Linked DNA regions of Callithrix jacchus. The protein of the gene in region 1 purifies or fractionates together with the protein of each later gene. This does not show direct contact. Links are inferred from orthologs where the notes say so. Each region holds a gene or a part of one and is shown on either strand. Other genes may lie near its edges.

The links.
Region 2: the proteins of PDHA1 (region 1) and OGDH fractionate together in Homo sapiens (co-fractionation; 3 studies listed by BioGRID). This does not show direct contact. The link is inferred for Callithrix jacchus from reciprocal best matches to the Homo sapiens genes PDHA1 and OGDH.

The regions. Positions count from the first base shown.
Region 1 is NC_133524.1:19,820,703-19,824,349, reverse strand, and holds part of PDHA1 (pyruvate dehydrogenase E1 component subunit alpha, somatic form, mitochondrial), read right to left. Parts: intron 1,420-3,647; coding exon 1,360-1,419; intron 809-1,359; coding exon 635-808; intron 1-634. UniProt on the Homo sapiens protein: The pyruvate dehydrogenase complex catalyzes the overall conversion of pyruvate to acetyl-CoA and CO(2), and thereby links the glycolytic pathway to the tricarboxylic cycle.
Region 2 is NC_133512.1:12,701,947-12,706,117, reverse strand, and holds the start of OGDH (2-oxoglutarate dehydrogenase complex component E1), read right to left. Parts: upstream 2,939-4,171; 5' UTR 2,833-2,938; coding exon 2,794-2,832; intron 1-2,793. UniProt on the Homo sapiens protein: 2-oxoglutarate dehydrogenase (E1o) component of the 2-oxoglutarate dehydrogenase complex (OGDHC). Participates in the first step, rate limiting for the overall conversion of 2-oxoglutarate to succinyl-CoA and CO(2) catalyzed by the whole OGDHC.

The DNA.
Region 1 (3,647 bases):
CCTAAACCCACGAAACAAAAAACAAACAAACGAATCCTTTCTCCCCAAATTGTATAGAGTACAGGATGATCACAATGCCAGAGGTTTTACAACAGTAAAACCCTAAGAACAGGTATATACACTGGCAATGTTATGTGTGAATGAATGGTTTATAGCCTAAGCTTCATAGTGGGTTTTGGCGTTCTACCTTTCATTCTAAGATACTGGCTTCAGCCAGGCACAGTGGCTCACCCCTATAATCCCTGCACATTGGGAGGCTAAGGTGGGCAGACTGGTTGAGTCCAGGAGTTTAAGACCAGCCTGGGCAACATAGTGGGACCCCGTCTCTAAAAAAAAAAAAACACAAAAATTAGCTGGGTGAGGTGGCGTGTACCTGTGGTCCCAGCTACTCAGGAGACTGAGGTGAGAGGACTGCTTGAGCCCAGGGGGCAGAGGCTGCAGTGAGCCAAGATCGTACCACTGTACTCCAGCCTGGGCGACAGACAGGGACTGTCTCAACAGTATAAATAAATAAAAGAAAATTACATGACCAGCCTCAAATGCTTTCGACACCTAAGGCAGGGTAAAGCCCAGTAAGTACAAGCCATACTTCAACACCTAAATAACACAGCTCTATCACAAACCTGCCACCCACCTGACCATCACACAGGTGACAGAAACCGCGAATAATTTTCTGTTTATACAGCTGGTCTGCTTTTAACTCCATTCGGCGCACAGTCTGCATCATCCTGTAGTATTTGAGCCCATCCTCCCTGGTGAGCACTGTTGTGACAGGAGGGCCTTCTTCCAGCCGGTGAAGGTCACATTTCTGCAAGGGAGTAAGGTGGTTACTATCCTCCACATACTACACTGCAAACACTGTTGACCACTCTGAGGCCTAACTCCATTGCAAATAATATTGAACTTGAAAAGCTGCAAAGGAGCACATTAGTGATGCTTCATATTGCCTCTGTTCCTTCAATCGGTACACCTCACTGTGCAATGAGATGGGGCTTGAGGGGAAGGAAATCTTTCTAAGATGATTTTCACTGAAAGCCCCTAAAAGCCAACTAAGTTACAGGTTGAAAGAACCTTCAAAGAAACAACTAAGACTCTTCTTATTCAAATATCTCACTGAGTTACATTCTAAACTTTAGAATAAGCTTTTATTTTTATTTTTATTTTTTAGCTTCTCCCCCTTCACCCCACAGAACACGAGCAAGCCACTAATAATAAATTCTAGTTTTTGTGACACTTCTCTGAACCTTTGATCCTGGAACGTTAAGAAAATGATGGCTCAGCATGAACATCAAAATGTTCTATTCTAAAGGTAAAGCTGTGTATCAGAAAAAATTATTAACGAAGTAAAACACTTCTTACCTTAATTTCAAATGTAGCATCATTTGCAAAATTACGGGATGCTACCAGCACTCTGCTTGCCTGGAAAGACAAAAATATACAAGCAAATCAGTACTTTTTAATTGTCAGCAATTTTGGAAAGTACAATTACTATTCATCAGTTACCAGGATGAAATTAAGGAAAGTTAATAAGCCCCAGCATATGCATGGACTTCTCTCTCACTCTGTGCACTGTGCCTGCATCCTCCTTGTCCTCCAAAATGAATCCATGCTTTGGCCAATGAAACACCATCATACCGCCATCTGAAGGCAAGCAGTGCAAAGAGAAAGGGGCAAAAACCAAACCCATCCTTTGTTGTCAAAGAAATTATAGTGAGAATATAATGAAATTAGTGGCTAAAGAGACTAGGTCATCTGTGAGCTGAGTTTGTTTTTTGCCATTCTTTTTTGAGATCGAGTTTTGCTTTTGTCATCCAGGCTGGAGTGCAGTGGCACTATCTCGGCTCACTGCAACCTCTGCCTCCCGGGTTCAAATGATTCTCCTGCCTCAGCCTCCCAAAGTGCTGGGATTACAGGCTTGAGTCACCGCGCCCAGCCTAATTTTTGTATTTTTAGTAGTGACGGGGTTTCATCATGCTGGCCAGGCGGGTCCTAAACTCCTGACCTGGTGATCCACCTGCCTCGGCCTCCCAAACGGCTGGGATTACAAGCGTGAGCCGCCGTGCCCGGCCTGTTTATGCTATTCTTAGTCATAACCCGGTACTGTTCATTTTAAGCAAGCTGAAATTATACTTCAAATAAAACCATGATTTAATCCCCACTCCAGGCAAACTTCACTCTTCTATCAAATTGGATCTGCAAGAAAAAATACTTTAAATTGGTCGAAGTCTGAGATAAACACATTAGGGAGACGAGGTAAAAGAACACTTAGCCCTCTTGACTTAAACATAATGGGCTTGAGGCAGCTGTTTTATAATTTACAATTTAAACAGTCTAAATCTTGGGTAGGCTCCTCTTGAAGCCCCAGTGGAAAGAAACGTTCTTTTGATGTTTGGGTGGCTATCACTGTTTGGAGGTAAAAAGCTTTGGGGGGAAGCGAGAAATGATTCCTTTCCGGTTTTACAATTGAGCAAACCTGCTCACAGCAAGTCTTCTATGCAATGGCTCAGGTTTAGGTTAGACCACAAAATGTATCCAGTTAGTATTATCATATTATTTTAGCCCCGTTCTGCCACACACTCACACTGACATGTAAACCAAGATGACTTCTCCATAAAAAGCACATCTGACGTGTTCATACCTTACCTAGTCCAGCACTGGACTGGATCTTGGTGAGAAGAGTTAAGACTGATCTGCCAAGTTTATCCTGGAGTGTACAAGCCAACAGGCAGAAAGCTAATTACGCATCTCTTCACCCCTCAATAGACCATCATGGGACAAAGCCGACAAACACAGACTATGACACTGCTGGAGGAAAACAGTTCAAATACTAGGAATCAGTGTTTCCATTAACTTAGAGGTAGAGACAGTTCCCCAACATATCTCAGAAAAAGTGTATTTGAGAAGTCAAGCTGAGACAGGGTGAAATAGCAAATGAATGGTTACGCCTGGCAATCATCAAACAGACTGTTCTTGGCAGTTAATAAATTATTTTGTGAGGTCAGAAATTGTTACTGTATTGTGAAATAAATTTCCAAATACACCTACAGAAACTGCAGTTTTTGGAAGGCAGGAGTCCAAACCAGCCAGCTAACAGTAACAGGGAAAAGGTAACTTCTTTCTCAATCCCAGAGTTGAAACAATGAGGTAAGATAATGCTATACAACGAGGAGCAAGAGGGGCCGGTGCACGTGCCTGTAATCTTGTGCCTGCAAAGATTAGGACTGCCAGAAAGCTACTCAGATAGTTCTCCCCTTGCTTCAGTATCGTGTATCTCAAAAATAAGAACCACTGAGATGAGTGAAAGCAGCGAAGTTAAAGAAGCTAAAAGTCCTGTCAGAAGTGCAAGTATATTGTAATTTCTGAGTGAGAGCTTGTTGAAAAGATAATTTTGCCATTTATTTTCCCTGGAGAGCCATAAAAAGATTCTCTGTTAAATGGGATTCCTCTCTGACAGAGACCACGAACAACCCATTGAAATTAAAAAATAAAATAAAAACTAGGCTGGGCATTGTGGCTCATACCTGTAATCCCCAGCACGGTGGGAGGATCACTTGAGGCCAGGAGTTCAAAGCCAGCCTGGGCAACATAGTGAGACTGTCATCTCTACAAAAATAAAAATTACAAAATTAGCCAGGTGTGGTGGCGCA
Region 2 (4,171 bases), on another chromosome or scaffold:
AAACTAGATTGTGCTGATGATGTCACAACCCTCTAACATACTGAAAAACATTCACCTTACAATTTAAATGAGTGAACTGTATGGCATTTGAATTACATCTCAATGAAGTTATTTTTTTAATGTGTAAGAAAAAATTTAAGTGAACTTATCACTGTAAACAAAAATGATACAAGTTGTAATCCATTTTCAAGATGCAAGAATAAACACATACTTTTGGGAAAAATAAGACGTAAAGAGAAAACAATTAAAAACCAAAGGAAAATTTGTTTTTAAGTGTTAAATGCCCTGCCCTTAGGAAATGATATACTTAAATAGGATTCTGTCTGAAATATGAAGCCTTTGAGGTCTGTGTCTCCAATGTCCCCAGATGGGCAGGAGGCACCCTATCCCAGGGCACACAGAATGAGAGAAATAAACCGACTACTGACACCTATCAATATATGTTGGCTAGGCAGAGAGGTAATTAAAAAGGCAAGACCTAGCAAAAACAGTCTGCTGTTTCGCAGCAAATGAGTCTTTGAGGGAAAAAACCATGCATCATTACCTAATCCTTACACCCTATGTGTGCTATCTGGCAACCATTTTAAAGGACAACTCATCCACTTTCTTTTTTTCAATTTCAGACTTAATTCTTCTGATGAATCATGAGCACAATGCTTGCTACAGGCCAATGGCTGTTATCTCATGCCTGCAATTATTTTTGTTTTAGTAGTAATACAAAAAAACTGATGTACAAAAGAAAAAAAAAAACTGATGTACAGACAGAGTACAGATATCACTTCTCCCTTATTGGCTGAGAATCTCAAAGAATTTAATATCTTTCACTAGTGACATACCATTACACATAAGCTGAGGGACAGGGACGTAGTGAGGATTACTTTCAAACTGCAAAGCTTTTTTTTCATTGCTAGATGGAAACAAGTGTGGAGCATGCAGGTACGGAGCCTGCGTGACACCAAGTCACTGTGTGAGCTTTCCGGGCCATCAAGTGGAGACAGTAATTACTCCTAACTTCCTCATAATGTCTTTTTGTAATTATAACACAAATATGAAAGCACTTTGAAAACTTGAAGGTGTATTTATGACTAAAGAAATGGCCGGGCATGGTGGCTCACGCCTGAAATCCCAACACTTTGGGAGGCTGAGGTGGGCAGATCACCTGAGATCAGGAGTTTGAGACCAGCCTGGCCAACATGGTGAAACCCCGCCTCTACTAAAAACACAAAAAATTAGCTGTGCCTGTAGTCCCAGCTACTTGGGAGGCTGATGTGGGAGAATTGCTTGAACTGGGGGAGGTGGAGGCTATAGTGACCCAAGATTGTGCCAGTGCACTCCTGCCTGGGCAACAGAGTGAGACTCCAACTAAAAAAAAAAAAAAAAAAAAAAAAAAAAGCAAAGAAAATTATCACTAGCCAGGAAAAAAAAGCCAAACTAGTGATATAAAAAGTTCAAGTTCCCAAGATATTTAAACCTAAACATAGCTAATTTGGAGTGGCGGTCAACTGGTAACTTCCAAAACATTAGTAGGCTGTCTGAATTGTTTAGCGCAGAAGCCTATTTAGCTCACCAATCATGGGCTGTCACTACCGGTAGGGACTGTCACCTCCCTGGTCAGATCTCTGAATACGCTTCAGTATGCAGGGCTGAAGACTGTTCTGTTCCTTCCCTCAGATGTGGCCCCACAGCATTAGAGGTGCCCATGCCTGACGTGGTATAAACAGGTTGCCTGCGGAGAGTGTAGATAGTCACTTTTAAAAGGTATTGATAGGCTGGGCGCAGTGGCTCACGCCTCTAACCTCAGCACTTTGGGTGGCTAAGGCAGGAGGATCATGAGGTCAGAAGTTCGAGACCAGCCTGGACAACATGGTGAAACCCCATCTCTACTAAAAACACAAAAAATTAGCCGGTGTGGTAGTGCGTGCCTATAATCCCATCTACTTGGTAGGCTGAGGCAGGAGCATCACTTGAACCCAGGAGGCAGAAGTTGTGGTGAGTGGAGACTACACCACTGCACTCCAGCCTGGACGACAGAGCAAGACTCTGTCTCAAAAAAATAAACATAAAAATAAAAATAAAAGGTATTGATAGAGCGCAAATTATTAAATCTTAATGGAAAGCAGGGCAATTTTTCAACATTTCATTAAAGCATATATAAGAAATCTGTTTCCTGATACATATAGCTAAAAACAGGAGGCATTACATTTAAGACAAAACAAGATTCTGAAAGGTGGACGGAAGGAAGCAGACTGGCTAGGAACCACAGGACCCAAAGAAAGAGCACTGAGTTCTCTTTTTTTGTTTTCAGTCAGGATCTCCCTGTGTTGCCCTGGCTGGAGTGCAGTGGCATGATTTCAACTTACTGCAGCCTCAACCTCCTGGGCTCAAGTGATTCTCCCATCTCAGTCCCCCAGGTAGCTGAGACTACTACAGGCACATATCACTACGCCTGGCTAATTTTTGTAGAGACAGTTTCACCATGTTGGCCAGGCTGGCCTCAAACTACTGTCCTCAAGCGACTCTCGGACTCTCAGGTGCTGGGATTATAGGTATGAGGCACCACATCTGGCCAAGCACTGAGTTCTTGATTTTCTTTTGCTTCATATGTCTCAGACACCAGGTACTGCAGAAGCCTATAACCCAGAAACGCCAACAGGTACAGACAAAGAAAACTACAAAGAGAAACCTGTTCTCTCTAGCCAAAGGACCAGGAAAAGAGCAGCAAGATGGAAAATGTTTAAAGTTTTAAACAACAATTGCTCTACTGCAGCCAAACTCCACAGGAAACATACTTACTCCACTCAGTTGATAGAGAATAGAGCCAGGGACTTTCATCCCCACCTGGTGAATAATGACCCCTCCTCAACTCACTTCCTGATAAATCAGTGGAGACCAGGTAGGGAGTCTGGATTTTAATCCCATCCAGCTGTAATGAAGCAGCACCCCTCCCTTCCCAGGCAGGGTGATATCACCAAGGCTTAATGGGGAACTCTTACACCCATTAGGTGCAATAACAAGGAGCCCCTCCCCTCCAGGCACCCCACCCAGCAACAGTGAGGCGGCAACCCCTCCCTGCCCCAGCAGAGGAAGCTTGCATTGCTCAGAGATTTAAACAAGATCAAGAGTCTCATAACACAACACCCAGAATGTCCAGGTTGCAAATCAAAGATCACTCTTTATATCAAGGACCAGGACAATCTTGGCCGGGAGTGGTGACTCACACATGTAATCCCAGCACTTTGAGAGGCTGAGGCGGGAGGCTCACTTGAGGTCAGGAATTCAAGACCAGCCTGGCCAACATGGTGAAACCTCGTCTCTATAAAAATACAAAAACTAGCCGGGCATGGTGACACATGCCTGGAATCCCAGCTACTTGGGAGGCTGAGGCAGGAGAACTGCTTGAACCCGGAAGGTTGCAATGAGCCGAGACTGCACCACTGCACTCTAGCCTGGGCGACAGAGTGAGACTTCCATCTTAAAAAAAAAAGTTTCAGCAAAGATACAGAGAATAGACATTTCAGAACTGAAAAATGCACTAAGCAAAACAAAAAAACTTAAAGCATGCATTAAATGGCAGAATAAGGAAGACAGAGGAAATCAGTGAACTTGAAGACAGAACAGGGCCTCAGGGAAATGTGGGACTATAAGAAAAAATCTAATATTGATGTCACTGGAGTACCAGATGAAGGCAGAGGGAGGGGCTAGAAAAGCATTCAAAGAAATAATGGCTACAAATCTCCCAAATTTGGCAAAAGGCATAAATTTACAGATTTACGCAGCTGAGAGAGAACCCCATACAGCATGAACTCAAATAAATGCACAAGACACATCATAAACAAATTTTGAAAACTGAATACAAAGAAAAAATCTTGAAGGCAGCCAGAGACAGAAACGGTGCATTATATACAAGAAAAAAGGCCTGTAATCCCAGCACTTTGGGAGGCTGAAGTGAAAAAAATCACTTGTGCCTAGGAGTTTGAGACCAGCCTGGGGAACATAGCAAGACCCTATCTCTACAAAATTAAAATTTTAAAAACATAGACAGGGCCGGGCACACCCAGCACTTTTGGAGGCCAAGATGGGCGGATCACCTGAGGTCAGGAGCTCAACACCAGCCTGACCAATATGGAGAAACCCCATTTCTACTAAAAGTACAAAATTAGCTGGGCACGGT